2 linked regions of the Drosophila melanogaster genome follow. The protein of the gene in region 1 interacts with the protein of each later gene in a pairwise test. Each region holds a gene or a part of one and is shown in the gene's direction. Other genes may lie near its edges.

Region 1 (6,072 bases):
TCTGCCAGCCACAGCACCAATGCGGCCATAAATGTGGAGGCCAAGATCATGGTCTTCCAATTGGAGGAGGAACGAGATCGTCTGGTGGAAACACTGCAGAAGCACAAGAAGAAGTACAACAAACTGCATGACGCTTATCTGGAGAAAGTGAAACGTTGTCGTGCTTTGGAGGAGATGTTTAAACGGCAGAAGACGCTTACAGGCTTGGTAATGAAGTCCTCTTTAGATCAAAGAAATGCAGGTGTGTTAGGAAATGGAATTTTTGCTTAAAATTAGATCAATACTCTAAAAATCTACTAGAGCAACGAATGGCTATGGAGAAAAGGCAGTCGGCCCAAAGCGATGTCAACGAATTGAACGAGCTGAAGGCCAAAGTAGAAAAACTTCAAAGAGCCCTTGATGAGTCATACGACATTATTGACGAAATGGATTTTGAACTTGAGAGCGTAAGACGCTTTAGAACGTATTAGCAAGCTTAAGTAAAAATGATTCGTTTAAAGGTGGAATTACTGGAAATGCAAAACCAATCCTTGCGGGACGAATTAGCCGCTTTTAAGGCAAAATCAGAAGAAGGAGCGACCAGTCTGCCGGCCTCGCTACCCAACGATGACGACCCACCGCCCAAATATGAGGAAGACTATCCCGGACAGCATCATAAAGCTATGCAGGCCCGGCGCTGCTCCTCTAGCAGTGAATCTGACCCCAAGGATGATGATGCCGACGCAGAAACTATGGAAAGAGCTGCTTTAACCCATAGCGTAAGCTTTAATCCTAATTCTCATTAATTATATATGTCTGATTGTTCCTTGTATTCAGCTCATACAAACTGTGGAAACAGAGAGCAATGCCCTAAGACGGGAATTGTTGAGATCCCGCTGTCAAAGAACAATTCGCGCCAAGTTGGAGAAAGAAAGCGAGCCTGTTGATTAGGATAAGTGGCGGGATTAATCTTATCACATAGCTCCCAGCCAAAAACTAAACAACCAACCAATAGATCATAATAACAAGTAGCCATACTAAAGCTGATGAAACTGATCACTAAGTTTACGCACAGAGAGCAATAACTAGACGGCTGGACTAACCCAGATTCCGAACCAACTACGCCTAACCAGTGCACATACCAGAATTTGCTTTTAAGGTTCGACAAACACGCTCGGCGGCTGCGTTAAATCAAAACTTTTGCGATATAGTAACCCGGTTTCTTGGACTGCGCGCAGAGAAACCCCTCGTCTAATGGCGATTAATTAAATTATTTGCTAATGCCATCAAACGAGTTGCGGACAGATCACCTGCCAAAAGGATCTGGCCTCCGAGCTGTGAAGGTTCCAGCCCCCGACTTCTGCCCTCCCATCCCATTTCCAATTCGACGTGGTGCGCTATCCATTAAAACATGACAATTATTTTTATGACTTAATGCAGTCGGAGGCCTTGTTGCCCAATGCCTAATGTTGCAAATTATTGACAAAGTAAATTAATCTCCACATTTGTTGGTTGGACCAGACAAACTAGCGCGACACCTCTAAGATCACCATCAAGCTCTCCCACTTGCGGCATATTCATTTGGATGCTTATCGAATGTGCGTCGCAAAAGAAAAATCAAATGCGTCATGGGTAAAAAAACTACAAGATTTTATAAATTTAAGTTTTAATAAAAATATTTTTTAAATTTCTTTATTTTGGATTCGGTGGATTTAGAAATTTCTTAAAAATATTAAGTGAGTTTTACGTCGTTTTCATTAGAAAAGAAGAATTAGGAGAATGGAATGGTTACTATTTCGTTCGACATGAAGCCTAACTTGGTTCCTAATTTTTTGCAGTGCATGGCTCAGGCTGGTGCGAACCACATTTTGCATATTTCTTGTTTAATTATAATTTTTCGGGGCTCACTTAATGAGCGCGCTCCACTTGGTCGGCGATCTTGTTTGGGAGGCGCGTGCCGCAAAGCGACACGACGCCTTGGGTGGATTGCCACATCCAAGTTGGATCGAAGCGTAGCTCTGGCCTGGTAATCAGTTGGCCAGCTTGTATATAAGCAGCCTAGGACTACCCAGATTAATTACTTCGATTTCGATCTTTGTCGAGTGCATTTCAATACCCAAAGAGTTCTGAAAGGACCAAAATACCACAAAATGATGGGAAAAGTGAGTGGAGTGGAGGAAAAAGGGTGCGATACAAAGGATTCTAATGCATAGAGTGGTGTCTTCCTTTTAGGTTACCTATTTGTTGTGCCTGTGCCTGGCCAGCGCCGTTTGGGCCATTGAATTGCAGGCGGAGCCGGACTACGGACCAGTGGCCTACGAGTTCCAGTGGTCGGTGAACGATCCCCACACCGGCGACATCAAGAGCCAAAAGGAGTCCCGCAAGGACGACAAGGTCGAGGGTGTCTACGAGCTGATCGATTCCGATGGCTATCGCCGCATAGTGCAGTACAAGGCGGATGATCACAACGGTTTCGAGGCAATTGTCCAGCGTGAGCCCACGGACATCAAGATACCGTTGCCTGAGCCACCCAAGAAGCTCCTGGCCGCCAAGATCCTGACTCCCGTGCTACCGGTGGCGCCACTCGTCCACTACGCCGCCCCCAAGGCCATTATCAAGCAGGAGCTGTCCGCCGGGAACTATGTCTCTGTATCCGGACCAACAGCACAGTACAAGTACTAAAAGGATCTAATGACTGACTTCAGCTGCATAAACCCATTAGGAAACCCGTCTTGACCCGGGAAAACTCACTGCCATACATCATAATTTAGTTACAATTAAGACAATTGAGTGTACATACAGACAGCTTACATTAACCTACAATAAAGATGCATCCCATTCAATCTGTTCGCAGAGGAACACAAAAACTTGGATTTTTTAATATAGGGAATATACTTAAAAGCTGGGTGAGGGTATTTTATTGATATAAAAAAAAAAATGAGTAGTTGAGTAGTGGTTGTGTTGCAAACATACTTATATAAGTGTGAAGATCAGTTAAGAAAAATATAAGCCAAGTGAAGAAAAACCACATTATGACAGTTCACAAGTGTGACACAAAAAAGTGAAAGATTATTAAAACCAAAAAAAAAAAGTGGTGAATGAAATGCTTGACTTAGTTCAACTCGCTTGTGTGTTTGGCTTCTTCAGTGAATTCGTATCATTATATTTGCGAATTGATGTCTCATAAAATGATGCGTCACGATACAGGTGGCTTCGATACTGTGATAAGCATAAACTAATGCTATCGCCGCCAGACGCGACATGGCCCATAGATGCCTCTAATCTCACGTAGCTGCTGCCACTTTGGGGGCGTCCAATTACCGGCGCAGTCGACGTCGTCGATGGCGATTCTATTGGATTTGGCTAACGCTCTGACCAATGCATCCATGGAGCATCAGTGCGAAAATGGTCGGCTGCCCGGAGACACGACAACTACTGGTCACATTGCTATTGACCCTTGGCTTCTGCCTGGGGGGAAGCTCAAAGGATACAGTTGCGGATGCGGATGCCAAGTGGATGGCTCCACTTAAGCAGTATGGGTATACGCCGCAGCATCTGAAGAACAAAGTGGAGCATGGTGAATTCACCACCTTCGAACTGGGCACCCCCAACTACCAGATTCTCAATCCCGAAGACGAACCGGAATACATAACTGCGGATCAACCGCATTATCAGGAGATGCTGAGGCGACTTACCAGTGGTCGTAGTAAAGCTGACACCATTGATGTGGAAATGGCAAGTCGCACGGAAACGGTTCGCGAGACTTCCGATCCGGGTCAATCTAAAAAACCATCTCAAATTCAAGTGCCAGTTAAACCGAAGACACAACTAAAACAAAATCGCTGGGAGAAACTAAGGAAGCGCAGCTCCATCGAAAAAAGACGTGACCACAAGGAAACCATGGAAACTGATGTGCGGGATGATCAAAGTTTCTTCCCTGATATTCAGGTTTACCCCGGCTTACCCTTCCAAAGTCGTGTAGCAAATCTAAATTAATCATAAATAAGTCACCTCATCCAAATGTGCAAATGGCTTTGATTTTAAGTGATCTCTGGTGATTCGGACAATGAATAAATACTAAAAGTATAAAAGTAAAAAAAATAAAGTACTTTTTTAAAGGACTACTTTAAATAAATCGGAGTTTTTTGCTATTTTTCTTTGTAAGGCTAAAATTGTTATGACTTTTACTCGCAATAATGAAAATAGTGATGTTGCTTATTTTTGTTAAAACAAAAAAGATTAAGAGTGCCCCCAATTTTAAGCAGAGTTTTCCCAAAATGTTGTTTAAATAATGAGCTAGACAAAATGTTAAATGGTCAAGATACTATTATTTAAATCAGTAAAGCTTTTGTACTCAATTTGTAGGAAGATAATTTAGGTATTGAGCAATATCGCTTACAAAAATACCATTATCCATAGTGTACGTGTAGACCTTGAGTTCCACAAAGAATTACAACCAAAAATTGATAAGTCAATCGACCCCAGACGTTAATATCAGATCTAGGCCGAGACCCAGAAATTATAAATCCCCCAAGCAGCTGGAAATTTTGTGCAGAACCGAAAAAATGATCATTGCGGTCGGAATGGTTTTGGCTATTTATAAAATTAAAGATTTCAGGAGGATTGTTTATTCTGGCTAATGAGAAACTGCCTAAAAAAAATGCATTATGAAGTTCGTCTTTCTCTTAAAGGTTATTGTCATGCCAAAGGTCATACATAAATATGTTTGCTATATGTTTTTGATTAAACAACTCTTGTCGCGAGCACTCCAAGCTATCGACGAGTGCGGGCAGAAATGCTTGAATGTGTATTACGGAAGCGGCGGCATCTGGCGATTGTCTTTACCCATTCCGGACCCATTCCGGACAACCACGCCCCATTCCGAGCCGTTTGGGGCGTTTGGAACGTGATGCGGTCAACGCTTCCGCGACCCATTTGCTCGGCGTTGTAAGAACGAGAAGAAGAAGCTCTCGGCCAGCGCAGCGTATTTAAGAGCTATTCAGCAAAATGCATGAAAGAGTTTCGCACGCGACCGACCAACAGCCAACAAGTGCCATCCATCGGCGATCCGGGACAGAAATTCCAGCAATTGTGGGGAAAGTGATCGAGCGAGCGAGGGAGAAATTCAGTTGAAAGGTAGGGTAACGGGGTCAATCGATTGGGAACGATTCCGGCGCAATTCTCTGACCCATTCTAAATTCAATATTCTCCCCCCTTCAGATGTTCGAACGCTGCAATTTATTATTTATGACCATGCTGATGGCATCGGCACTATTGACCCAAGCCCATTTCCCGGAATATTGTGCGGAATGTGAACAGGAGGTGTGGGAACAGGTGCCGTGCAGCGAGGTGCCCACAACGGTAGCGCCAACAACAACCGGAGGCTCTACGTTGAGCCCGCCCACAACCAGCGCCACCAGCCCGGGACCTATTTACCCAACAACAACCAGTGCCCCACCCACGCCCACGGATTACACTACACAGCCATCGGAGTACAAGAAGTGCTACTGCGAATGCAAGCTGGGCTGCAAGGAGTTCTGCCGCAAGGTGATCTCTTCTGAGCCCAAGCAGCCGCTCACCCAGATCTCATCCATTGGGGAGTATGCCCCAGGTGGCCAGGTGGAGTACACGCATGTCCATCAGCGCAAATACTTTCCCAAGTACGGAGGCGAATCCTATGGGGGATTGGTAGGACCAGTGGGCGGACCCAAGGCCTATAAGCCATATCCATTGGTCTACGAACAGGCGGCATCAGCTGCTTCACCGGCTTCCATTCCCTCGGTGGCTTCCTCACCAGCGGTGGCCAGCATAGCTGCTCCTAATTACACGCTGGAGGAGTTGGCCCAATTGCTTAGCACTGCGTATGGCACCAAGAAGGGCTACCCAGCTAGTGTGCCAACTCCGCCACGTATTCAGCTTCAGCCAGCTCCCTCCGTTTTCTATTCCCCGGTTCCAAGCTACAAAAAGCAAGTGGTTCCACTCGTGAGCAAAGTGGCGCCGGCACCCAAAATCTCCTCCAGCATTAAGTATGCCGCCTCAGCGGTTTCATCATCATCATCGGGCGTGTCGGTGGCCAAGATAAAGACTCCCTAC
Region 2 (10,301 bases), on another chromosome or scaffold:
GAGTGAAGGACTTGTCGCAGCTGCGGCACAAGAAGGGTTTCGAGTAGCCCTGATGGACGCTGCGGATGTGGGCCTCCAAGTACGGTAGCTTGTACACCTGCTTGCCGCACTGATCGCAGGCCAAGCCAGCGCGTCGTTTACTACCAGTGCCTTGGCTAAGCTGTTGCTGGCTGTTCTCGTACTCATCTGGATACTCCTCATCCTCCCGGTCGTCAAGAATCTTCTTCTGATCCTCCTGCTTCTTCGACAGATCTACCTGCTGCCCATCCGCCTGCTTTTCATGCTCTTCCTCCAGTTCATGCTCATTTTCCTCATGGTTTTCCTTGAGTCCTTCGTCCGGCGGCTCCTCCTTCACCTAGGAAAGAACTAAGAAAGTATTAATCCAGGTTTAACAAGCCGAAAAGGACATATATATCCACCCTGTCGACCGCGATGTCCACTGGCTGCCATCCGATAAGCTTCTGGCTGGATTCCCTTGCCACTTGGCGCAGCTCGTCAAAGTAGACCACCGCGTTGTGGCACAGGTTGCAGATCTCAGTGGGAAATCCATGCGGCTGCTTCAATATGTCGATGTCCAGCAACTTTTGCAGAATCGCGATGAGTCGCGGATCGGGACAGTGGGTGTCGCGGTCGCGCAGATGACGCAGGCAAATCCTGCACAGGCGCGCGAGGTCCGTAAATGTGGTGAACATCGCCACGAATCGTGCGCGTTAAAGGCAACGTTCTACGTGGAAATCCAGTTCTTTTTTCCGCCTCTTAAATTTTCCTGCTGTGATGCACACGCACCGCCAGTGTTACCAGAGGGCGACACCTGTTGCGCTGCCGTTGATCGATCACTCTTATCGATATCGTTACCAATCCAGCTTATAGGCTTTAAAAAATTCTATAAGCTTGTATATCGAAAATATTAATACTACATTAATATTATTAGAAATCGCAATGCATTTTTAATCTTAGTCATAAATTAGGGTGGATATTAACATTTCCCAATGCGAAGAATGCATCTAGTAAGATGTTTCCGGTATTACAGTTTATTTCATCCTTTCAATATCTGGTCCCTCTCTATTTATAAATAAAACCCGCCTGAAAATTACACAATTTAAATGAACGGATCGAAAAGCAACTTTAGAGACCTTAAAACGGATTCTTAACGTGAATTAAACAACAAATCTAAAAATAATAATATAATAATATATATATATATATATATAATATATGAAAAACAAATAATTGTTTTCCAAATATGACCAAGTATTACGGCTGACAGTAATGCAATAATTTGTTACGAACTGCTTATCCTTCGTTATTGCAGTGCCTCTAGCTCAGGCTTACCACACAGCTCGCAATAGAAATATCGATAACTATCGACGTCTCACCACTCTGCACACCTAAGATCTCAAATAATCAAAGGAACAAAAAAAGGTAATCAAAAGCATTAATTGCAAATGAACATACATGCGCACCCACCCAACCTAGGATGCCCTGAGGATTTTACAGTCATCACCCAATATAAATAAATATAAATATAAATATACCAAAAATTACAAACAGTTGTCATCCTGAATTGCCCATTTTGGTCGTTAACCGCGGTTCATGTGGAAAATATCCTAGTCAGAGGCAAACGAGTAAGAATTTCAAAACAATATAAAAATATATATGATATTAATTTATTGGAATTGTAATTTATTCAAATAAAATTAAAAGTGTGGAAGCGGAGACAATTCAGGTCTTATTCGTAGAGTGAAAGAATTAAATTTAATTGTAAGTTGCAAAGCGAATGCTTAGCAAACCCTTGACTGAAATTTACTTCTTTATGTGTTAAGCTAAAGAGGGCTCCTCTTATGTATTTCTATGAATTGAGTGGATCGTGCATGGATGCTGGGATAAGCCAAGGATTTGAGCTTCGTAAGCGGTTTTGACCCTTTGGTGGGAGTCGTGAATGCGGCTGCGGATGTTTATGTCTGGTGGATTGGGTGCCCTCTTGAGTGGATCGCGCATGGGTACTGATCAGCCGAGAACTTCAGCTGCGTTAGCGGTTTTGACCCTTTGGTGGGAATAGCGAATTCGGCAGCGGATGTTAATGTTTACATTAGGGCAGGCTGGATTTTTTATTGTCACCAGAATTGGGGTTCTTATGGGATACTTGAATTTATGACTTATATCCTAAGGCATTCTATGATTTGGTTTATGCAAAGACACTAGAATAACAAGATGCGTAACGCCATACGATTTTTTGGCACACGATTTTTTGGCCGTGGCTCTAGAGGTGGCTCCAGGCTCTCTCGAATTTTTGTTAGAGAGCGAGAGAGCGGAGAGCGCTACAGCGAATAGCAGACAACTGTATGTGTGCACACGTATGTTCATGCATTGTAAATTTGACAAAATATGCCCTTCACCTCAGAAGTTCTTAGACTTTAAATCTATATTATTTTTGATCAATTGGCACCATGCGAAAAAATCTTGTTTTGCATTGCAAATCCTGATCGTCCTCGCGAAGCAATGCTTCACGGCCATACCGCGGGGGGTCCTGGATTTGCCCTCCTTACTTTTACATTGTTAATCTGTTAATCTTAATCTTAAATGTTCAATAGACGAATTAAAAAAAAAAAAACCTAATCCTGTGTAATCAGAGCACTGGGGACGCGCGCGAGTAGCCGGGCGAATCGAGTTAACGCTCCTGGAAAACCCGAAAATTTTCCGTGTCGCGGCAGCTAAATAGAGACAGGAGTGACTGTCTCTAACACACAGTAATAGTGTAAAAATCACGGAGCAGACCAATAGCCAACCCCTCCGCTTATGAGTCCCCCGTCGGAACTTCACCCTTCACACCCAACCCTTAAGTCCATGACGCTGCGCTTGCTCTCTTGACCAGCCGGGCAGCAGCATAATAAAAACCCATTTTGCGTCTGAGCCAAGGTGGCCGGCGGAATGGTTTGTGTCTGAGCCTCATCGGCCAGCACCGTAACCATCACCTGGCGAATGGTATAGGGCCGCACACCTTGCAGTCCAAGGTTCTAAGGACCCCACCCTATAAGCCAAACGATGGCACCCCCAAGGGGCCATTATAAGTGACCTCCCCCCCAAACAGAGCCCAACCAGCAAGGCCCCCTTTTCTAGAAATCGAGGAGATGGGAGATATATTATACAACGGGGTGAGGAGCATTAATCTGGCAATGAAGAACACATTTGCCAGATTGAAGGATCTCCAACTAAAGCTGCGCGTGAGGCTGCCGGAGGAGGAGAATTCGCATGCCAAATGCACCGCAAGAACTGATGCTAGCCAACAGACCATCCCTAATGGCCTCTTTAGCTATGAAGAACCGAGTAAGGGCAAAGACGGTGTCAAACCAAAGATCGCACGGTGATGTCCAACGCCCTGCACTCCAAGGAGCTGAAGTTGGCGTTGCCGACTCGACCAGCAAGACGGTAATAATGCTGCTCAAAGGTGCCTTGAAACGTGCGACACATACTGAATATGCCATCCAACTGTTTTTCTGTTTTTTATTTTTGTTCTTAGCTAAATGTAATATGTCAAATAAACGAATTTAAAAAAAACCTAATCCTGCGAACCAAACATAGGTGTGTGTTGTGATGGAGGCAACTCCTGCGCAGGCGCGCGATGTCCGTAAATGTGGTGAGCATTGCCACGAATTGTGCGCGCCAAACGCAAATTTTCCTGCTGCGATGCATACGCACTGCCGGTGTGACCAGATCGGTCACTCTTATCGATATCGTTACCAATCCAGCTTACTAGCTTTAATAAATTCTATAAACTTGTATATCGAAAATAAAATTATTATTAATATTATATTAATATCATTTCAAATGGCAATGAATATTTAATTTTAGTAATAAATTGGGGTGGATATATGCTTTTCCGAATGTGAAGAAAACATCATCCTTTCAATATCTGGTTTATCCCTCCCGTCTGAAAATTGTGAAAATACAAGCGATTCCACATTATGAATAAACGGATCTAAAAATCAACTTTAGATACCTTACAATGGATTGTAAGTTGCGTTAGCTTAAGTATGACCTGCAATTAAACAACAAATCAAAGAAAAGTCGTCCCGAGCGAGGAAAAAAAATAATATATGAAACACAAATAATTGTTTTCCAAATGACCAAGTATTACGCCTGACAGAAATGCAATAATTTGTTCTTACATTTATGTGACCCTATCATCATCGAATCATATTTCAAATTCCAATTCCGATTTCGTTATTAGGACATCGGGCTGTAGCCCTGGGTATCGTAATCGATAGTTGCGAAATAGCAGTCAGCGATAGTGTCTGACAAAATCGACGTTGTTCCACCCCTAACAAAGAGTGGTGATCTGAGCGCAGTCGGTTGATTTCATTTGGTTTTTTTTTTAATTATTCGTGTCGCCGCGATCGGATCGGATTTCCCATAATCTCTGAGCGTTCCGCCTATCCTTCAAGTGAAATGTCGCTGAATCCGCAGTACGAGGACATTGGCAAGGGATTTGTGCAGCAGTACTATGCGATATTCGATGACCCGGCGAATCGGGCGAACGTGGTTAATTTCTATAGCGTAAGTGTTGTTGCTTCCCGCTTCTGCTCGTCGCCTTTCATCTCTCCTTTATTCCCGTCTCCGCTTTCGCCTGCACATTTTTCGCTTGCCATCCCCATCACACGCACAGGTGACGCGCGGCGCGCCCTTGAAAAATTCCGCCTCCTTTCAGCAGAAAATGAATAAAGAAACTGTTGCAATGCGAAAAAGAGCGCGAAAAAGAGCAGCTGGAGATATACGGTCGGCGTATCCGTGATATCGTGGGAATAGGATGAATGTTGATAGGGGCGGGGGCAGCGTTCGATTCTCGAAGTTTCGGGTGACACATTACGCCCATGCTCGCATAAATAAATACACACATACGAAATATATGGCCAACATACAACTGCGGTTAGCACAATAGGGCCCAATATACGATATAAATTCGTGAAAAAATTGTATTAATATCTTGAAAAATATGGCATAATTGTGTTTCATTAGTTTCAATCAATTCAGTTTTTTTGTCACATAAAAGAGTAAATGAAAGAATAAAAAAGTCTATAATGATAAAGTATTGAAAATAAAACTATCTGTTTGATATGTTTTTAATTTAAATATTAACAGTTTTATAACCAATTTTGTTCTTAATAATACGAAATATCATTACTAAGTAAAACATCATCATAACACTTATATCATTATATATTTTATACTTCCAGGCTACCGACTCATTCATGACCTTTGAAGGCCACCAAATACAGGGGGCACCCAAGATTCTGGAAAAAGTTCAGGTAAGTCCTGATTATATACAGTCATGGGCATATGTATAATATTTTGCATACCCTTCCTATTCCTGCAGAGTCTGAGCTTTCAGAAGATTACCAGAGTGATAACCACAGTGGACTCGCAGCCAACTTTCGATGGCGGAGTTCTGATCAACGTCCTTGGAAGACTACAGGTAAAACCAGAATTCTCAACAAGAAAACTGTCCTAAACTCGCTGTCGGGGGGAAATTCAATGACTGCCTGCGGCGGCGGTTAGAATATTAGCACTGCCGACCAATTCAATCGATTTTCTTTTCAAGTTTTGAATTTTATTTTTGGTCTTTTCAACACGTAAATGCTTGACAATCGTTTTTGTAACAAATAGAACGTTTTGTTTTGGCTTTCACATAAGAACATTATTTATTTTGCACTGTTTCCCATTTATTTGTTATCATGTATGGGCTTTATTAAGCCTGCCACTTTATTCCATTAAGTGTTCTTCATTCTAAGATACATTATACCCGTTACTAGTGCAGTTAAAGAGTATACTATATTCGTTAAAAAGTATGTAACATGTAGAAGCAATCGTTTTCGACAAAATGTAGTATATATATTCTTGATCAGGATCAATAGCCGAGTCGATCTGGCCCTCTCCATATGAACGTCGAGATCTCAGGAACTATAAAAGCTAGAAGGTTGATATTAAGCAGACCGATCCTAGAGACACCGACGCAGCGCAAGTTTGTTGATCCATGTTGCCACGCCCACTCATATTGTTCAATATGAAATTTCGCGTTCTCACTTCCAGTCGGAAAAGTCGACCATAGCATTCTCTCTTGTTTTGAATATAATATCCATTGACTTATTGATGCAGTTATAGTAGGTAGATAAATGAAATGAATTTTAAAAAGAGTAACTGCCTCAATGTATTTTACGATACCTTATTGTTCAAAGTGGATATATGTAGAGACGTAGAAGCAAATTTCAATCGCCCATCACTTAAGATATGAAATCATTCATCATTCTTCCGTAAAGTCGTAAGGGCAGTGCTATTTGCCGACCGCCGCTGCATCTATTATTCCATATAAGTCACCTGAATCTGAATCGAATATCTCAATTCTGGTTATTACAAAACGAAACACAAATGCCAAAACAAACCAATGCAGACCGACGAGGATCAGCCGCATGCCTATATTCAGACCTTCGTATTGAAGCCGGTGGGCGGCAGTTTCTTTGTGCAGCACGATATATTCCGACTCTCGCTGCACGATGTGTAGCACCAGCGAGCCCGACCTGCCACGCCCAGTCCACAGACTCCAGCGCCCGGCTATATGTGTGTAAATCGAGATCGAGATCAGCAGCCAAACGATCAGCCAGCAGACACGAGACGAGAGCCAGTTAAAAAACGAAAGAAATCCATATCTAAGCGATAAGATAGTTCTGCTGCTTGTCGACCTTATGCCGCCCAGCCATGCCCACTCCGCCCACATATACAAAAATATTTATCCTTGGCGTCTCGTCGTCGTCCAATTTCTTCTAATTATTCTCACAGTACGTGAATGTCCAACGAAAATTAATCAAATCAAAATGTTGCGCATTTCATTTCGTGCATGGTTTTCGTTGATTTTGAGTTGGATTTGCTCTTTCTTTCGGTTGGTCGCTGGGGACCTGGAACCTCCTAATAATGCAATTTTAATGTAACACAAACAATTTCTGTAACCTCTATTGCTTTACATTTTTAACTAAACGGTTTATATTTATATTATATTTTTAGATGCTTTCAATTGATATTGCACTTATAAAAATTCTGTTTTTCATTTGTTACAAAACCAAATACCAATTGACTAGTCTTAACTTGCATATTGTTTTGTTCAATAGCTCGAAGAAGAGAACTGTAAATATCCCAAATTGTTAAGCGCACCCTAATATGCCTTAAAAAAAAAACTTTCAAATGTTGTTCAATTTTGAATGGAACTGAGGAAAGTTTTGAGAAGTTCTTATATCAGTGAATAATAATTTTGCTCGCACATTTGGTATAAAGTTTATTCTGCTCGTGAAAATGTTTTGGAGTTATGTTCAATTTATCGAGCGAGCCCTGTACAGTAAACACGCACCTTACACGATCAATCGGCTGCCAGTTGTACACCCTTTCCCTCTGACCCTGGCTTCAAACTGTGTGTACTCCATTCATATCTAACTCAATACGTTGAAATTGGTTTTTCGCACGCTTGTGTTATTGACTTTAAATGTGACTGGTTTGCCTGGCATCTGCTAACGTATTTATGATTTCATTCCTTTGCAGTGCGATGACGATCCCCCACATGCCTTCTCGCAGGTCTTTTTCCTGAAGGCCAACGCAGGCACCTTCTTTGTGGCCCACGACATCTTCCGTCTCAACATCCACAACTCTGCCTAGGAGCACTCCACTTACCTACGTATGCACACCACTCAGCACCACACATAATCGACATCCAAAGATGCCCAGCGCCAGATGATAACAACAAGCTCGGCAGTGGAACTCAGAAAAAAAAAATATAACAAAGCCAGCCAGCGGTCTCACGATTATCAGCAAATACAAAAGTTAGAAAAAGAAAAAAAAAAAAAAAACAATAAAAAAATAAGAAAATAACGCTAACTACTATTACGATGTCAACAAAATGGGCCGCCAGCTCACCTTCATTTGTGTCCCATTGTTGCCGGTACTCTCGCTTTACGATCCACGGAACCCTAGAATTATATGTTCTGCGAACACCTGGATCTCGCGATCTAATTTAGCTAGGACTATCGAATTTGGTGGTATGTGCCGTGCTACAAGCTCGTATTTCGAATTCCCGTGAAATGAGCAGGAACAGCAGGCCGGGATCATCGCCTACATAAGTTTAGAGTGATTTTCTAGACCGTTTATATTTCCAATTGAATTATTTGTACTTTAATTATGAGGATTATTTTAGATAGCCGTATTGCAAATGTATTGTGTCGAGTGTCTCGCTCTGTAAACAATTACTTGAGTACCGGGACTGCACCACACACAGTCGCAAGTATCGACTCTTGCTTTCTCATATGACTAATTGAGCGATGGCGAATTACTTTTTATTGAGAGAAAAAAAAAACACTTAAATATAAAGATAAACGTTAACAGTTTGGTTGTTTGTATGATTGGCGGAATGGCCAGTTGAACCGGAAAGATATGTATACCCTTATAAGCTATTAAATGCATACGAAAGAAGCTCCAGCGGATCTGGCCAGTGGTTTCCGTCTAAAAACTGAACGATTCACTTGTCGCGAAATGTGAACACCGCATCGAATCCGAATAGCACCCCATTGACGATGGACAGCGAGGCCTTGATGAGCGCGAGATCCCGAGTTCGGGTGCGGAAGGAGAACTCCCAGGCCTCAATGATGAACACACCGCTGGCCACGAACAAGGTGCAGCCCAGGACGCTGAAGAATATATCGATGCGCTTGTGAATGGGTGCCCGCATCAGAACGCCTGCAATTGCAAGGTATCTTAAGTAGATTTGTGTGCAAATTTCGTTTTTGGTTAACTTATTTTAGTATTTTAACTCTTAAGGACTGGCATTCCAAGGCGTACCTGCAAAGACCCCGATGACCACTATGATGTAGCCCGTGAAGGTGCCAGTGGCCAGGAACGAAGTCATTATATCGCGATCGTTGAAGCTGTAGAAGTGGAGCACCAGACACGCTACCGCAAAACCCTGGAAAAGTGAGGGGATTTTCATTTGTGGTGCTTCTTGGTGTTCTTATAATTTCCGAGTCTATCTGGTATTTCGGGTCTTTTCTTTTAATTCCCAAGTCGTTTTTTTTTTTTTTTTTTTTTTTTTTGACAAACCATTGTTTAGTAAGCATACGCGTTGCTTTTTGCATTAATTCATTAATCCTTAGAACTTGCAGTAAAATCACTTGAAAAAAAAATCCTTTACCAGTTCGAGAAACTTGACCACATTGAGGCGGCCTTTTCGCTCGCCATGAGACATTTTGTGAAACTGCTGCCGCTGACAGTCCTCGAAAATGTGGTCCAGCTTGAAAATGTACGTGTCGCAACTCAAGAAAGTTCCAAAGTTCTTCCGATTGGCCTCTTTGGAGCGTGCTCGCGACGGCAGAGCGCTGGACAAACTGATTCTGATTCGGAAATGGATGACGGATGGCAGGCAAATGCGGCTGCAGTTTGCAGTTGGGCGCAGTCGGGCCCAGCCAGCGAAATTAATTAATTACACTTAGGAAATAGGCTTTTCATTCTTGTTCCCATCCCTGTGTATCCGCCCACGTCCACCACGTCCGCCGGGCCTCTCGGTTCCATCTCTGAAGTGGAGACCGTCTGCGTTCTCCGCTGCCAGCTGCACTCGAGCCCCATCCCTTCCAGCTTGATTGAGTGGAGCATAATGTCTGTATCTGCATGCATGCTCTGTGCCGGTGGGTGGCCAGTGGACAGTGGGCAGCCGCCCAATGGACTCGGACTCATTGTGCTCGCATTGCCATTACCCCAAATTTGCTGCCTAACCTTCGGGGCCCAAGATCGGAGCTAATTCGCGGAATCGGGGCCAACGGGTCGCCAATTTTCCGATGGTAATCAAGTGGATAATGGAAAACATATCGCCGGGGAAATCACTTCCTCAAATCATGAATAATCTTATGGACTTCATGGGAATTATTAGGTTGTAAGGTTGTGTTGCAACGCTTTTCAGATATAAAAGTGGATTTGTAATGCATGGAATATATTTTTTAATATATTACAAGTACTGTACTTTTTAAGTGCAATTAAAAGCTTAGAGCAACATAAAAAGTAAGCCGAATTTTATATACCCTTCACCTATAGTAACTTAGCTACCACTAGCTTGGACGACTACAGTCGTCCTGTTTTAATAAAATGTATTTTATTTCTATTTATTTTTCCTGTATTTTTTACGAACGTTAAACTGCAAATCCCATTCCGCTCGCTCCTAGTTCAGCTAAATTATATAGTTTATATAAAATTAGATTAGTAATTACATTTCCGACCCGGCCTGT

The links. Proteins that work in one complex are often made in the same cells at the same time.
Region 2: the proteins of CG13113 (region 1) and Ntf-2 interact in a two-hybrid assay, tested with the Drosophila melanogaster proteins (one large-scale study listed by BioGRID).

What each region holds. Positions count from the first base shown.
Region 1 is NT_033779.5:9,540,818-9,546,889, forward strand, and holds CG13113 (uncharacterized protein), read left to right. Parts: upstream 1-3,353; 5' UTR 3,354-3,357; coding exon 3,358-3,975; 3' UTR 3,976-4,058; downstream 4,059-6,072. Other genes in the region: CG17855 (uncharacterized protein), read left to right, coding at 1-241, 301-446, 501-758, 817-930; Cpr30B (cuticular protein 30B), read left to right, coding at 2,130-2,141, 2,212-2,661; CG13114 (uncharacterized protein), read left to right, coding at 5,200-6,072.
Region 2 is NC_004354.4:21,031,168-21,041,468, forward strand, and holds Ntf-2 (nuclear transport factor-2), read left to right. Parts: upstream 1-4,301; 5' UTR 4,302-4,446; coding exon 4,447-4,554; intron 4,555-4,663; exon of another isoform or gene 4,664-4,923; intron 4,924-5,231; coding exon 5,232-5,303; intron 5,304-5,371; coding exon 5,372-5,470; intron 5,471-6,442; coding exon of another isoform or gene 6,443-6,553; exon of another isoform or gene 6,554-6,827; intron 6,828-7,578; coding exon 7,579-7,692; 3' UTR 7,693-8,548; coding exon of another isoform or gene 8,549-8,766; 3' UTR 8,767-8,779; intron 8,780-8,847; 3' UTR 8,848-8,868; coding exon of another isoform or gene 8,869-8,992; 3' UTR 8,993-9,217; coding exon of another isoform or gene 9,218-9,271; 3' UTR 9,272-10,300; downstream 10,301-10,301. Other genes in the region: CG1529 (uncharacterized protein), read right to left, coding at 1-355, 420-692; CG15449 (uncharacterized protein), read right to left, coding at 8,549-8,766, 8,869-8,992, 9,218-9,271.